Rhinolophus ferrumequinum: one gene and its partner. The protein of the gene in region 1 purifies or fractionates together with the protein of each later gene. This does not show direct contact. Links are inferred from orthologs where the notes say so. Each region holds a gene or a part of one and is shown in the gene's direction. Other genes may lie near its edges.

Evidence for each region.
Region 2: the proteins of UBR5 (region 1) and SOX2 purify together in Homo sapiens (affinity purification with western blotting; 3 studies listed by BioGRID and IntAct, with this or other methods). This does not show direct contact. The link is inferred for Rhinolophus ferrumequinum from reciprocal best matches to the Homo sapiens genes UBR5 and SOX2.

What each region holds. Positions count from the first base shown.
Region 1 is NC_046297.1:43,905,161-43,913,123, reverse strand, and holds the start of UBR5 (E3 ubiquitin-protein ligase UBR5), read left to right. Parts: upstream 1-4,454; 5' UTR 4,455-4,515; coding exon 4,516-4,577; intron 4,578-7,963. UniProt on the Homo sapiens protein: E3 ubiquitin-protein ligase involved in different protein quality control pathways in the cytoplasm and nucleus. Mainly acts as a ubiquitin chain elongator that extends pre-ubiquitinated substrates.
Region 2 is NC_046285.1:62,840,645-62,847,270, reverse strand, and holds SOX2 (transcription factor SOX-2), read left to right. Parts: upstream 1-4,206; 5' UTR 4,207-4,656; coding exon 4,657-5,619; 3' UTR 5,620-5,728; downstream 5,729-6,626. UniProt on the Homo sapiens protein: Transcription factor that forms a trimeric complex with OCT4 on DNA and controls the expression of a number of genes involved in embryonic development such as YES1, FGF4, UTF1 and ZFP206. Binds to the proximal enhancer region of NANOG.

The sequences.
Region 1 (7,963 bases):
AGAAGAAGGTACAAAAATTTTCTACCTACTCCTGCCCCACACATTCATATCCTTGCCCATTATCAACATCCCTACCAGAGTGGTCCACTTGCTACAACTGATGGACCTTCATTGAAACATCATTATCATCCAGAGTCCATAGTTTACATTAGGTTTCACTCTTGGTGTTGTACATTCTATGTGTTTGGACAAATGTATAGCAACATGTATTCACCATTATCATATCATACAGAGTAGTTTTACTGCCCTTAAAATCTTCTGTGCTCTGCCTAGTCATCCCTCTCTCTTCATTAACCGCTGACGAACACTGAAGTTTTTACTGTCTCCATAGTTTTGACTTTTCCAGAATGTCATATAGTTGAAAACAGACTATATAATGTTTCAGATTGGCTTCTCTCATTTAGTAATATGCCTTTAAAGTTCCTCCATATCTTTTCATGCTTGATTGCTCAACTTTTCTTAGTGCTGAATAATATTCCATCGTCTGGATGAATCAGTTTATTTATGCATTCACTGACTAAAGGACATCTTGGTTGCTTCCAAGTTGTAGCAATTATGAATAAAACCGCTATAAACTTCTGTGTGGTTCTTGTATGTACACAAATTTTCAAATCCATTGGATAAATACCAAAGACTGTGATTGCTGGATCATATGTTAAGAGTATGTTTACTTTCATAAGAAACCACCAAAATGTCTTCTAAAGAGACTGGACCATTTTGTGTTTCCACCAGCAATGAATGAGTTTTTGGTGCTCTGCATGTTGGGCAGCATTTGGTGGGGTCAGTGTTGTGGCTTTTTAAGCCCCGTTGTTTTATTCAGTTAACATTCATATACCTACATATTTTCCCCTTTCACACCTCTTCATTCCTTTATGCCTCTCTGGGCTTACAGTGGGGAATCATTTTCCTTTTGCTTGAAGAATACCCTTTAGTATGGGTTGAGTCCTAAAAATTTCTCACATTTTTCTTCCCTTTTCTTTTTCTTCTCTCTCTTTTTCTCCCTGACCCCTGCCAAATGTCTTTGTTTTTCTTTCATTCTTGAGCCTATTATTTAGCACTGTGCTTTGCCCATAGTAGGGAAAACTTGAAGTGTCAAGGAGTTAACCCAAGAGCAATCCTGAACTACTGAGGGATGCTGCTGATGGATAAATAACTCCAGCTTGCCCTCCACTCAGTAGGGTAATTCTGAGGTGTGTCCCACACATTCCCTCAGATGGTCCCCAGTGGGATTGAATTCTAGTTGCCCACAGTGGTAGAACATTCATCAGTTCATCTTTTATTGGGTTTCATCCATTCTCTGTCTCATTTCTCCATTCCTATATAGTGCTTCCTGTAATCACTTCCCAAATAAACTATTTATAGTCAAATCCTTGTATTAAGTTCTGTTTTGGGGGAAATCAAATCTAAGACATGGCCTATTTCAGGGGTATGGTCCTTCAGGGCTCAGCACAAAGTAAGAGGGGTTCATTAGCACTCACCACAGCATTGGGATACCTTGGACATCAATTCCTGTTGTTTTAACCCTGAGTGCTTGTCAGAATTGTTCAGTCTCTTGGCTTCTCACTCTGTGTTTCTGGAATTGGCATTCATCCCAGAGGACAAAGTGGCTCCAAACACAAGACTCACTTTCTTGGGTCTTATTCATCCCTTGGATCCCAGTTTGGTAATTCATCATTATTTTGTTAACTCTCTGTGCCTTTAAGCAGATTTAAAGAAATATTTTGGCTAACTTTTCTAGTTGTCCTCCAAGTGAGAATTAGTCCAAATTATTAGAAAAAAGCCCCTCCCCCCTTCTAGGCTTGTGTTGCACTTTGTCTTCAAAGAGCTTCTTCTTGAACCTTGCTTATCTCCATTCCCTATTTGTATCTCCCCCTCCCCCATCCATGCAATGGGCTTGCACAACTCCATGCCTTTATTCTTGTTTTCCCCTGTTCAAACCGTGACCCACCAAAGTGTTGGGGCCCTGGGAGAGGAAAATTCTCCCTAACATTCCAGCCTGGGACAACAAAAAGGTCACTATGTCAAGATGGCTGTCAGTCAAAGATCAAGTGGGCAGTTTGAATGGGCTGCTAGGAGTGCGGAGAGGGGCCTTCAACTAGGAGAGAGAGTCTCAGTTCCAGGAAACTGGGAGTGGGTAAATCAAGTTGGAAGCCTGATGAAAAGATGAAGACAGATTTGGAAGAAAGACTCATGAAGCAAAATATGGGTATGGTGTGGAGTTTTTTCTGGGGCAAATGTAAAATGACTAGGTTTAAGTTGTATATTCTATTTGCCCAGAATATTCTTGAAAGCTCAGCTTAAATGACTTTTCTTAATTTTCTTGGCTGGAATCACTTCCTCCTTTAACTTCCATAGCACTCTTATTGCATTTATCATATCACATTTTTCCCATTGGCTTTGAATAGTCTGTTCCTTCTAAATTATTAACTAGATGGCAGCTGTGGTATAGTGGAAAGAGCAACACAATCAAAGTTAGATGACCTGGGTTTAAGTCTCAGCTTCAGCACTTACCTGAAATGTTTGAGCCTCAGTGTCTGCATCTATATAATGAAGATAATATTATTTACCCCATAGTGTGATTTGAGTATTAAAAGACAAATGTATAAAGTGGTATATAATGAGAGCCTGAAAAATAAAAGCTTCCATTTGCAGAGCCTAAGTGTTATGAAGAGCCCTAGGAGCTTGACATTCATTATCTTAGAGTTCTCCACAACCTTAGGTAGATCTATTATTTAGAATACAAATTAGAAAAAGACACTATGATAGGTTAAACAGTTTAATCAATGTCACATAGTAGCAGAAACAGGACACAAATCCAAGTCTGTCTGGGTCTAAAACTAGCAGTGTTCATTGGTTTACCCTGCTTTCCCATGGCCTCACATAGACTTCTAATAAGTAGTAGAGCTGAATCACTTTTTAGTCCAAACTCATCTGGGCCGATTTTGGAACAAGTGACCTACAAAAGTGTTCCATTATCTATCTCAAAGGGTACCTACTCTATCCTGATTTATAAATTTTCACATATTTTGTTCAAAAGAAGCTCCTAAGCAAAAGTGTGTATATTGTAATGTATTAACAGAAGAAAAGTGTTATTTAACATTAAGAACGGTTCACAGGACCTCTGATTTAATGAACATTCACACAGCCTGGAGAAGAGGCTTCATGTTTTCACTCTTTGCCTTGAAAGAGGTACCTGCTTTTTGAAGGCGACACAGAAGCCTTTGGGAAGAAAGCTATGAACTGGCTCCACAGTAAAAAGCAGCTAGATCCATTCAAGAATTTGCCGTTTTAATCCCACTGATCTTAAGTTGAAGAACGCCTTTGCAGAGTAGATAGATCATCTTTCATTTAAAAGTCGTAAAAAAAAAATGAATAATTTAAATCAGGAAATTTGTGGAAATTTCCACATTTTGTCTTTGTCTGGCTACGTGACGATGGTGGTGTTGGGGAAATTGGGGAGAACAGGGTGATAAAAGAAGTTGCTGCAAAGTCAGCTCTAAGATTAGGACCTTGTGGAGAGGTTCTTACATAACTACCTTCTCCAATAAAAGGGTGTTCATTTCTTGCCCCTTAACTGATTTCACACTTCCACTTTAAATACAACTGCGGAGGAAGGACCAGAAACAAAAAAAAACCCCAGGGTACGCAAAATAATTAGGGCTGCCCCAGGGAAATCAAACCGAGACAACGCAGGAGCCCCTCTTCCTTCCCACCTCCCCCGGGACACACTTTCAAGCTACTGGCGGACTCCCTACCAGCGCGGGCGGACGCGCCCCTCCGCCTCCTCCTTCCCTAACACGTGCTCTCCGGAACACTCACTGGGAGCTGTCCCTCGGGGGCCGAACGGACCAATACGCACGCGCCTTACAGCACCGTGGCCAGACAACGTTGAGCGGCCCAATCCAAAGGGCCTTACAGCCCGTTTCCCGGAGCCCCGCCCCCTCGCAGCCGTGCCCCCACCCGCCGGTCTCCTCCCTTCTCCTCCCTCCGTTCGCCCCTCCCCCGCCGCTCGGGAGCGCAGCCTGCGAGACGGAGAAACTGGGGCAGAAGTGAAGATGGCGGCGACGGTGCTGGTGGCGGCGGCGGCTTCTCGCCAGTGACGCGCGGTGCGGGCTCATCTCCCTCCCCACCTCCCTAGTCCGGACCCCGTCTGCCGCCGGGACCACACCGTCCCCTTAGTCCGCCCCACTCCTCCCTCCCCAGTCGCCCCTCTCCCAACGCCCCGCTGCCGCTGGCGGCGGCGCGCCCCAGGTCCCGGCCGCCGGCCTCGCAGACCTGTGCGCTGTCGCCAGGAGAGCGGGTGGCGTGTTGATCCGTCCTCCTCGCCCCGCAGACTGCCGGGCGGTGGACACACGCCCGGCAGGGGGGCAGCGGCGGCCCCTGCGCATTTGCTTCCCTCCATTTGGGGACTGGGAGGCGGCGGCGGCAGTGGGTTTTGGGGAGGGGAAGTGGGTTGGGGGGGCGGGCGAGAGCGGGAGGGGGCCGTCCTCGGGAGGAGGACGAGAAGGAAGCACCATGACGTCCATCCATTTCGTGGTTCACCCGCTGCCGGGCACCGAGGACCAGCTCAATGACAGGTAATAGGGCCGGCGGGCGGGGGGAGGGGCGCCTCCCCGCCCTCCCCTTCCCTCCCCCACGGGGCCGCGCCGGGGCGGGCGCCAGTGTTTACGCGCCTGCCGACGGTGGGGAGGTCCTCACTGCCCCAGACTAGGCCCTTTCCGGGGCAAACTTCTGGGCGCGGGGGCCCGGGGACGTGGGGGGAGCACGGTGTAGATGGGAAAGCGCGCTGCACCCCCCTTGCCCCGTAGGAGCCGCGTTGAACTGGGCGGAGATGGGGGGGGGAGATCGCTCCCGGGGGGGCGGGCTGTAATTACCGCCCGGGCCAGGCCAGAGGAATCCATATTAGCCAAAGTTGAATTGAGACAGACAATGCGGATGGGGGATGGTGGAGGTAAAAAGAGAGGGAAGAGGAGAAACGGGGCGAGGGGCCCCGGGGTAGGCTGCGCTCGCCGGGGCCCCTGGGAGTTGTGTCCGGTGGGGTGGTTTGGACCTGCCAAGCTTGAAGATCCGGGGCGGGGGGGGGGGGGGGAAGCAGGGAGGAGAAGCTGATTCCCGGCAGATCGCGGTGGGGGGTGGGGGAGGAAGCGCCATGATTATTGTTATTATTATTAAATATGAGCCCCTGCAGTGAGGTTTGCCTGCCCGGGGAGGGGATGAATTCAGGCGGGGGTGGGGAAGTGGGTTGGATTCCCTTTGCTCTCCTTCTCCCTAAACGCTGCTGGCAGCTCCAGCTCCCGGTCCCTCTGGTGCGAGCTTTTTTGTTTGTTTGTTTCCTTTTTTATTCTAATGATAGTGTTTTCGTGAGTTGTAATTTGACAGCTGAAAACCGTGCGTAGAGTCAAAGGAAAACTTACGTCTGCAGTTCGCAATGCTGCTTTTCTTAACATGCTGTAAATTTCTGGGATGGGTTTACAATGGGCGGAGGAGGAATGATTTTTCTTTTTTCTTTCTTTCTTTCTTTTTTTTTTTTTTTTGTCTTTCATAAGACGGCTGTTTTGGCCGTGGATTCCTCCCCTTCCTCTTCCACGGTTCCCTGCCAGTTTAGGATATTGAATTGCAGGGCCGCATGCTTTCAGGGAACTGAGATAAAGCAGGAAAAGTTCCTTCACTGTTGCAAAACAGACTCCGAGGAGGTTGAGGGAGGCCTCCATTAAAGCAACTCTTAGAATCTAGGACTCGGATCTAATGATGGGCTAAATGTTCTCAGGGTCAGAAAGTGGGGCATTTTAATACTCCTTCTACCCGATGCTTTCGCTGCTGTCTTTCCTTTGAGTATTATTAGAAGCCACCTGGACCCAAGTTTTGAAGTTAGATATAATTTTTGCTAAGTGACCGGGTGACAAGTTGCATGACGCCCTGTTTGTCATGCGCTTCCCAGAGGGAGGAAGAGGCCTAACTTGCTGCTATGATATTGGCCTTGGTCTCAAAGTATCCAACTGCCTCAGGTGGGGCCGACAGCTTTTTAATTTGAAAGCTGGCGATTTAGTTTCTGGCCCTGGGTTCGGATTTCTCTGATGTTTGCTGTAGCCATATTGTATTTAACATGTTTGTGAAACTTTTGGAATACTGTCTGAAAATATTAACCACTTGGACTTACCACATGTTCCTTTAAATATTGAAAGACATTTTAAGTCATCTATTTTAACATTTTATTAGGGATCCTTACTCTGATTTTATTTCATTAGTGCTAGAGATCTTTTTAAAGATTTTTAACATAAGATTTTTTGGGGGGTAAATTTTAGAATCAGGCTAGAGGTGGTGATAGTTCTGGTGTCATTCACAGAACCAAGTTGGTAGTGCCTGTATTGTAACTTATTTTGTAACTTAGAAAATTGCACCAGGGAGCAGAGAAATAGGGCATATTTTCTGTATTAGTCCTACTTTATATATACCAAGAATCCTGACAAGTTCATTCAATGACTGCATGCCAAAACCTATTCTGCAGTGGTGTTGGGTATTTTGATTCAATTTTGAATATTCCTTATGCTTTAGCTAATCTGAGAAATTTATAAATAATGTATCTTTTTTAAAGCTATGTTTTCTTTTTTCATTCTTAATATAAACATTCAGCTTTGTTTTTTTATTCCTATAGTGTCAGTATACAACATTAAGAATATTTAGATCATCTTTTCATTTTATGAAATAAAAGACAAGTGTATTTGATTCAGATCATAAAACGTGTGCATGGGGTAGGGGGGAACAGATATTTTGAAAAAATACAAAAGTGCTGTCAGTAAAATTTTAGGGACCTGTAGTTACATCTAGTAGCAGTAAAACTGGTCTGTTGAGATTTGTGAAGGCAACATTTGAGACAGTCCTGTATCGAGTTTTGAAGTGCAGTAGTTTGAAGGGCAGTAGTTTGACTTGTGGTGGAGCTGTTCTGTCTCCCCTTCAAAAGTAAAGCGTCATTGCATACCTAGTTGCAAAGTATAATAGGAACAACCCACTGGTGCATTGCTTGAGAAAAATCTGTTCCCAAAAGATACTGATTTTCTGGAATCTTTTAACTAACTAGAATAAGAAGCCCAGAGTATTTTCATCCTCAGATGAAAACTACCAAGATTTTGTAAGTTTTGGTAATAAAAAAGCGTGTGCTCCTATAGCTTGATTTTTATGAGAAATGTGCCTATGATAGTCACAAATGAAATAATTTTGCGTGAAAAAAGGTATAAATAGGTAGACTATTCTTTATACAAAAAGAAGTAAGATTGGACAGGCAGTGTGGTACTGCAAATAAATTGCTCGGTTAAAGAAAACTTAGGGGACTCAAAACATCAGTATTTTCTTCAAATATGTTTTCTTTCCTTAAATAGCCACATCCTGTTAAAAATCAAATATCTTGTTCAGTGTAATCTTGTGATGTCTCAAATATCTAAAATACACATAGCATTAAAGAAAAGGTTGTATCTGATTTTTTTCTTTGTGTTTTCACTTGGTAATTCTATGGTAGTTTTTACACATTTTTGTATGTTTAAGTCTTTAATTTTTGGCTCTGAGATACCAAATAATGAACGCAGTTGATGTATAGGTGGGGATGGCTAGGACAGAGAAGAGGAATTCAGAGAGCCTAGGATGTTGGTTGTGGTTTCCTGGAGTGATTACAAGTTCCCTGGTGCTGAGTGGCTGGTCCTCTGGCAATATTCATTGTGTTGAATTGAAACCATTCCATACTTTCTTTTGTGACATTTTGATTTTTTTCTAGTGAATTTCTTGAGTTAGTGCTGTGTTCCTGCTTAAAACATTGCCTCAGAGAAATAGAAAACATACTAAGAATATGGTTCTACAAGTTGAGGTTGAGGAGAGAGCTGGAAGGGCCTGCTCACTGAGACCTAGAAGTTATGTAGACCAGTCTTTTCACTAATGAGTTGAAAAATCAGGCCTAGAGATTTATGAAATTTATCTA
Region 2 (6,626 bases), on another chromosome or scaffold:
CCTTCATTTGGCCAAATCTGGCTCCTAATACATTTAACTAGTTCCAGAATTAGAAAACCTTTCTGTACATTTTCTTCTATTTTTCTCTCTTTTTTTCCTTACATAATGAAATTAAAACTTTTGGAGCCCACAGTTGACATTTTTTCAGAAAATTGAGTTATCAAGGCAGTAATTATTTCACGGGGAGATAAAACTCTCATAGCCCTAACTGTCAAATAGGGCCCTTTTCAGATTTTAATTACAAAATAAAATTAGTCTGCTCTTCCTCAGAATGGTTTGTGAGTGGTTAAACAGAGCTTTCCCCCCCAATACTGGTGGTCGTCGTCAAACTCTGCTAATTAGCAATGCTGAGAAATTCCAGTTAACAAGGACATTCTCCAAGACTCTGCAGGTTCCCTGCCGTTTGCCTTCATTTCCATAAGAAGATTAAGAGAGGAGGGGAACACACTCAAATGCAGATGCAGAAAAGAAGCGTTTTTTAACAAGCATCATAATAGTACGATGCTTGGCTAGTTCTCACCTAATTACTGCAAGTTAAACCTCTATTTGCCACTAAGAAGAAAAAATAAGTCTACAGTCCCCTATCCACAAAATTGTTAGTTGGCTTCAGATATAATACTTGAGGAGGGATGAGGGGAGTTTAGGAGAGACATATCAGTGCAAAAGATTTTTAAGTAAAATTGAACTACACTTAATCAGTTAAGGATTCTTGGCAGAGGCCTATAGTAGAACAAAATCAAATCCGAATATCTCAGGAATTATGCATTTTTGTTCTTAATTTCTAATCTTGCTCTAAAAGTATGCAGCTTTTTGCTGCCCATGGAAGGGAAATGTTACACTCTCTTTATATTAAGCACTTCAATTTTCATAAATTGTACCAATGGCAACATTTAAAATTTTTGAAGGATGAAGCACCCTCTTTCAAGTCTTATTTTGATTCCTTAGTAGTCAATGGTGTATTGTTATTAGTACTGTAGCCGTCTGTTATAAATCTAAAACAGTACTGCTTCTATCATACATCGTGATTGTTATAGTTATTATTATATTTAGGGGCCAGTGATGGTGCTGAACTGAAATAGAGTGGCCAGTGATCTGATTTTTTTAAATGCATATGTTCTAAAAAAAGTCTAATGAGAAAATTGTTTCTGCTATCACCATCTTCTTTAATCTTATTTTCATAGCACATTATTATGCATAAATGCCATCCAGTTAGTTTATTGCCTTGATAAGTACAGCAGGCTTAATTAAAATAAAGCTGTAAATAAATGCAACCAATGATAACACAATTGTAATGTATTTCCATAGCTTATTTATATGATAAAAGCAATTAACAAAAGACCTAGCCAGCCCCTTTAACCTCTTAAATGAATTATTATAGAGTCAGGCACAAACACAGACATCTGACGATGTATAAAAGCTTTTATATATCATCTTAAGGAAAATTTTGTGCCTCTTACTACTACCCCTTGAGAGAGAGGGAGAGAGAAAGGTTAAAAACATTTGCTGTATAACCATCCACTATTAACATTTATTTTAATACATATACACCGCCATTACCCATACCAACCCCTTGGGTTTTTTTCTTCAAACTTAATTATCCATAAGCTTTTTCTTTTCTTTTTTTTTTTTTGGAATAATGCTATTATACTAAGCGCAGATCAATGCATACACAATCATAAAGTGAATGCTTGGTCTGCCCTTCGTGGAATCTGGACAATCATAATTCATTCATATGTTGAATCTCACAATTTGTACCTATTTTTTCCCCATGATTTAACCTCCCACTTCTCTCGAGGTTATATATGTACATTTCTAAGTTAAGCAAATTAAATCTGAGTCTTATGATTCGGTTCCATAGCTTATATGATATGTTAACTTCTCTTTTGTTTAGATTACGTGTATTTAGTTTGATCTTCCTCCCACCCCACCCCCCATTTTTTTATTTCCAAACACCTTCTTTTAAAGGTAAAATCCATAGTCTTGGGAAAGCGAATTCACCAGTAGGGGGCGCACCAGCCACATCCCTGAAACCAAGACGCTCAGAAAAGGCCGTGGCCGCCTTTTCTCCAGATCAACTCAACCTTTTCTCTTTCCTAATCTTCATGTGCGTGATTAGCTTAATATTACACTTTCAATTAAAAAAAAGACATTGCTTTATTTTGAAGAGTGACTACATTTATGCGTTTTGAGAAGGCCAGTCTCGTCCTTCCTGGGTTCCCAAGAACTGAAACAAACCATAACTTAAGAGAAAAAGGAGAACCTGCGGGTGTGTGTGTGTAAGGGGGGTGGGCCGTGATTAGAAATAATAAATTATTAAGAAAAGTCTACAGGATTCTTTTTCACAACTTTTCTGGGTTTCCAGTGAGCATACTTAATCTTGAGTTTGACAAGAACAGAAAAACTTGGGAGGGCAGGGATTGAAGAAGTTGGAGTGGGGGTGATGACGGTTATGGGAAGAAGGTTAGTAAAGAACAAAACAATGCAAAGTTTTGTAAAGATAATAAATGGAACATGGCCGACAGATACTATTCAGTACATTTTCTTAGGGTGACTAAGGGTGGATCAGAGGAGAAGGGGGCGGAGAGTGTTACAGAAGAAAGAAAATAAGTAACCCTGATGGTTTAAGCCCTTTATAAAAAAAGAAATGGCATCAGGGTTCCCCCCCTTTGTAGTCAAGTGCATTTTAGCCACAAAGATCCCAACAAGAGAGTGGAAGGAAACTTAGACGGGGCTTTGTTTGACTCCGTGTAGCGACAACAAGAGAAACAAAACTACCTATTTGTAACGGACGTGCTGCCATTGCTCTCCGCATTGAGCGCCTACCTATTGAAATCTTTACGTCCGGACAATGGGAGAGCGGCTAAAATTACCCTCTTGGGTCCAGGGCAGGCAGGATTTCTGAGTCCCTACCCCGCCCCCATCCCATCCTCCTTCAGCCCTGGCCCTACTGGGATCCCCTCTTCCCCAGTCCTGGCCTCCATCTTCCTGCCGGCAATGCCTGCACCTGTGCCTGGCGAGCACTACCCTTCCCTCCTCCCAGGCCTACAGCCCCCTCCGAGCGCACACTCCAGACCCGGGCGGCCCGGGAAATGCGGCCATCACGGTAGAAGTCACTAGGGGGAAATGCCAGGGCTGGTTCTGCTCGAGTCCTGTGAACTCTGCGTGGGAGGGAGTTTGTGAGTGCGGCCCAAATGCCACCTCCACACAGTGCCCTGGGATGCCAAGAAGTTGAGCTTAACGCTCCCCCACCGCCTGCACTCTGAGCGTCCTTCTGTTGAGCTCTTTTCTTGCCCCCAGCCTCCTTCTGAAACCGGCACAACTAAAATCCTTTGGGGGAGGCTCAGCAGGAGAATGGAGAGGGAGGACGTGCATCCCCTTTGCACCGACTGAATGGGGAAAGACTGGTGGGAGAGGGTGAGGGAACAAGCTGTGGTTTCCTGCGCCAGAGCTGAGTTGGAGGGAAGAGCGAGGTTGCGGCAGCTCACCCAGGGCCTGCCTAGCCTCGCTCTAGAGTCGGCCGCATAGTCCGCGCAGGATTTACTTTTAAAACAGAACAAATTGCGTGAAAGCAAGAAAGGTTTGGGGGATTGAGCGTTCCGTCTCCTAACTTCTTGTCGGGACAGTGCGAGAAGTGCGTGAGCGAGTGTCGGCACCTGTGGAGAAAGAGGAGCAAGGGGAAGAGAGAGGCGAGGGAAAAGCACGAGAGAGGCTGGAGTTGGTGGGGGAAGTGTGCAGAGGAGCGGGAGAACAATGACACACCGACTCCATCCAACACTGCCTGTTTCCTGAAATACCAGTAGGACAGTCGCCCTGAACCACCCACTCTCTCCTGCCCCACCCCCACACCTTAGCGGCTTTTCGCGCCCCTTCCTCATTTCAAGAGCCCGCACCAAAAAGTAAATCAATATTAAGTTTTAAGAAAGAAGAAAATCGCAGTCTTAGTGCTGTTTACCCACTTCCTTCGAAAAGGCGTGTGGTGTGACCTGTTGCTGCGAGAGGGGATACAAAGGTTTCTCAGTGGCTGGCAGTGGGAGCCGCCTCCCCCTCCCTCCATCCCCCTCCTCCCCCTGCCTCCCCCGCGCGGCCCGCGGACCAGCAGGCCCCGCCCCCTTTCATGCAAAACCCGGCTGCGAGGCTGGGCTCGAGTGGAGGAGCCGACGCGCGCTGATTGGTCGCTGGAAACCCATTTATTCCCTGACAGCCCCCGTCACATGGATGGTTGTCTATTAACTTGTTCAAAAAAGTATCAGGAGTTGTCAAGGCAGAGAAGAGAGTGTTTGCAAAGGGGGAAAGTAGTTTGCTGCCTCTTTAAGACTAGGACTGAGAGAAAGAAGAGGAGAGAGAAAGAAAGCGAGAGAAGTTTGAGCCCCAGGCTTAAGCCTTTCCAAAAAATAATAATAACAATCATCGGCGGCGGCAGGATCGGCCAGAAGAGGAGGGAAGCGCTTTTTTTGATCCTGATTCCAGTTTCCCTCTCTCTCTCTCTCTTTTCTTCCCCCAAATTATTCTTCGTCTGATTTTCCTCGCGGAGCCCTGCGCTCGCGACACCCCCGCCCGCCTCCCCTCCTCCTCTCCCCCCGCCCGCGGGCCCCCAAAGTCGCGGCCGGGCCGAGGGTCGGCGGTCGCCGGCGGGCCGGGCCCGCGTACAGCGCCCGCATGTACAACATGATGGAGACGGAGCTGAAGCCGCCGGGCCCGCAGCAAACTTCGGGGGGCGGCGGCGGCGGCGGCGGCAACTCCACAGCGGCAGCGGCGGGCGGTAACCAGAAGAACAGCCCGGACCGCGTCAAGCGGCCCATGAACGCCTTCATGGTGTGGTCCCGCGGGCAGCGGCGTAAGATGGCCCAAGAGAACCCCAAGATGCACAACTCGGAGATCAGCAAGCGTCTGGGCGCGGAGTGGAAACTTTTGTCGGAGACGGAGAAGCGGCCGTTCATTGACGAGGCCAAGCGGCTGCGAGCGCTGCACATGAAGGAGCACCCGGATTATAAATACCGGCCCCGGCGGAAAACCAAGACGCTCATGAAGAAGGATAAGTACACGCTGCCTGGCGGGCTGCTGGCCCCGGGCGGCAACAGCATGGCTAGCGGGGTCGGGGTGGGCGCCGGCCTCGGCGCGGGCGTGAACCAGCGCATGGACAGCTACGCGCACATGAACGGCTGGAGCAACGGCAGCTACAGCATGATGCAGGACCAGCTGGGCTACCCGCAGCACCCGGGCCTCAACGCGCACGGCGCCGCGCAGATGCAGCCCATGCACCGCTACGACGTGAGCGCCCTGCAGTATAACTCCATGACAAGCTCGCAGACCTACATGAACGGCTCGCCCACCTACAGCATGTCCTATTCGCAGCAGGGCACCCCTGGCATGGCGCTAGGCTCCATGGGCTCGGTGGTCAAGTCCGAGGCCAGCTCCAGCCCCCCTGTGGTTACCTCTTCCTCCCACTCCAGGGCGCCCTGCCAGGCCGGGGACCTCCGGGACATGATCAGCATGTATCTCCCCGGCGCCGAGGTGCCAGAGCCGGCCGCCCCCAGCAGACTTCACATGTCCCAGCATTACCAGAGCGGCCCGGTGCCCGGCACGGCCATTAACGGCACACTGCCCCTCTCGCACATGTGAGGGCCGGACAGTGAACTGGGGGTGGGGGGTGGGGGGATTTTCAAAGAAAAACGAGGGAAATGGGAGGAGAGTAAGAAACAGCAAGGAGAAAAACCCGGTACGCTCAAAACAAAAAAGTCGTCACCCACAGCAAATGACATCTGCAAAAAAGAACACCAATCCCATCTACACTCACGCAAAGCTGCGATGCCGACAAGAAAACTTTTATGAGAGATCCTGGACTTCTTTTGGGGGGACTATTTTTGTACAGAGAAAACGGGGTGGGGGTGGGGGTAGGGAGGGCGAGGGAATGGACCTTGTATAGATCTGGAGGAAAGAAAACTACACAAAACTTTTTAAAAGTTCTAGTGATACGGTAGGAGCTTTGCAGAAAGTTTGCAAAAGTCTTTACCAATAATATTTAGAGCTAGTCTCCAAGCGACGAAAAAATGTTTTAATATTTGCAAGCAACTTTTGTACAGTATTTATCGAGATAAACATGGCAATCAAAATGTCCATTGTTTATAAGCTGAGAATTTGCCAATATTTTTCAAGGAGAGGCTTCTTGCTGAATTTTGATTCTGCAGCTGAAATTTAGGACAGTTGCAAACGTGGAAAGAAGAAAATTATTAAGATTTTGGACATTTTAATTGTTTAAAAATTGTACAAAAGGAAACAAACTAGAACAAGTACTGGCAAAACCATCTCCGTGGTCTTCTTTAAAGGAGCAAAAGTTTTAGATTGTACTAAATTTTTTTTTTTAACTTACTGTTTAAAAGCAAAAATGGCCATGCAGGTTGACATCATTGGTAATTTATAATAGCTTTTGTTTCCCAACTTTCCATTGTGTTCAGATAAAAATACAACATGAAATTACTGTGTTTGAAATATTTTCTTATGGTTTGTAATATTTCTGTAAATTTATTGTGATATTTTAAGGTTCTCCCCCCACCCCTTTATTTTCCGTAGTTGTATTTTAAAGATTCGGCTCTGAATTATTTGAATCAGTCTGCCGAGAATCCATGTAT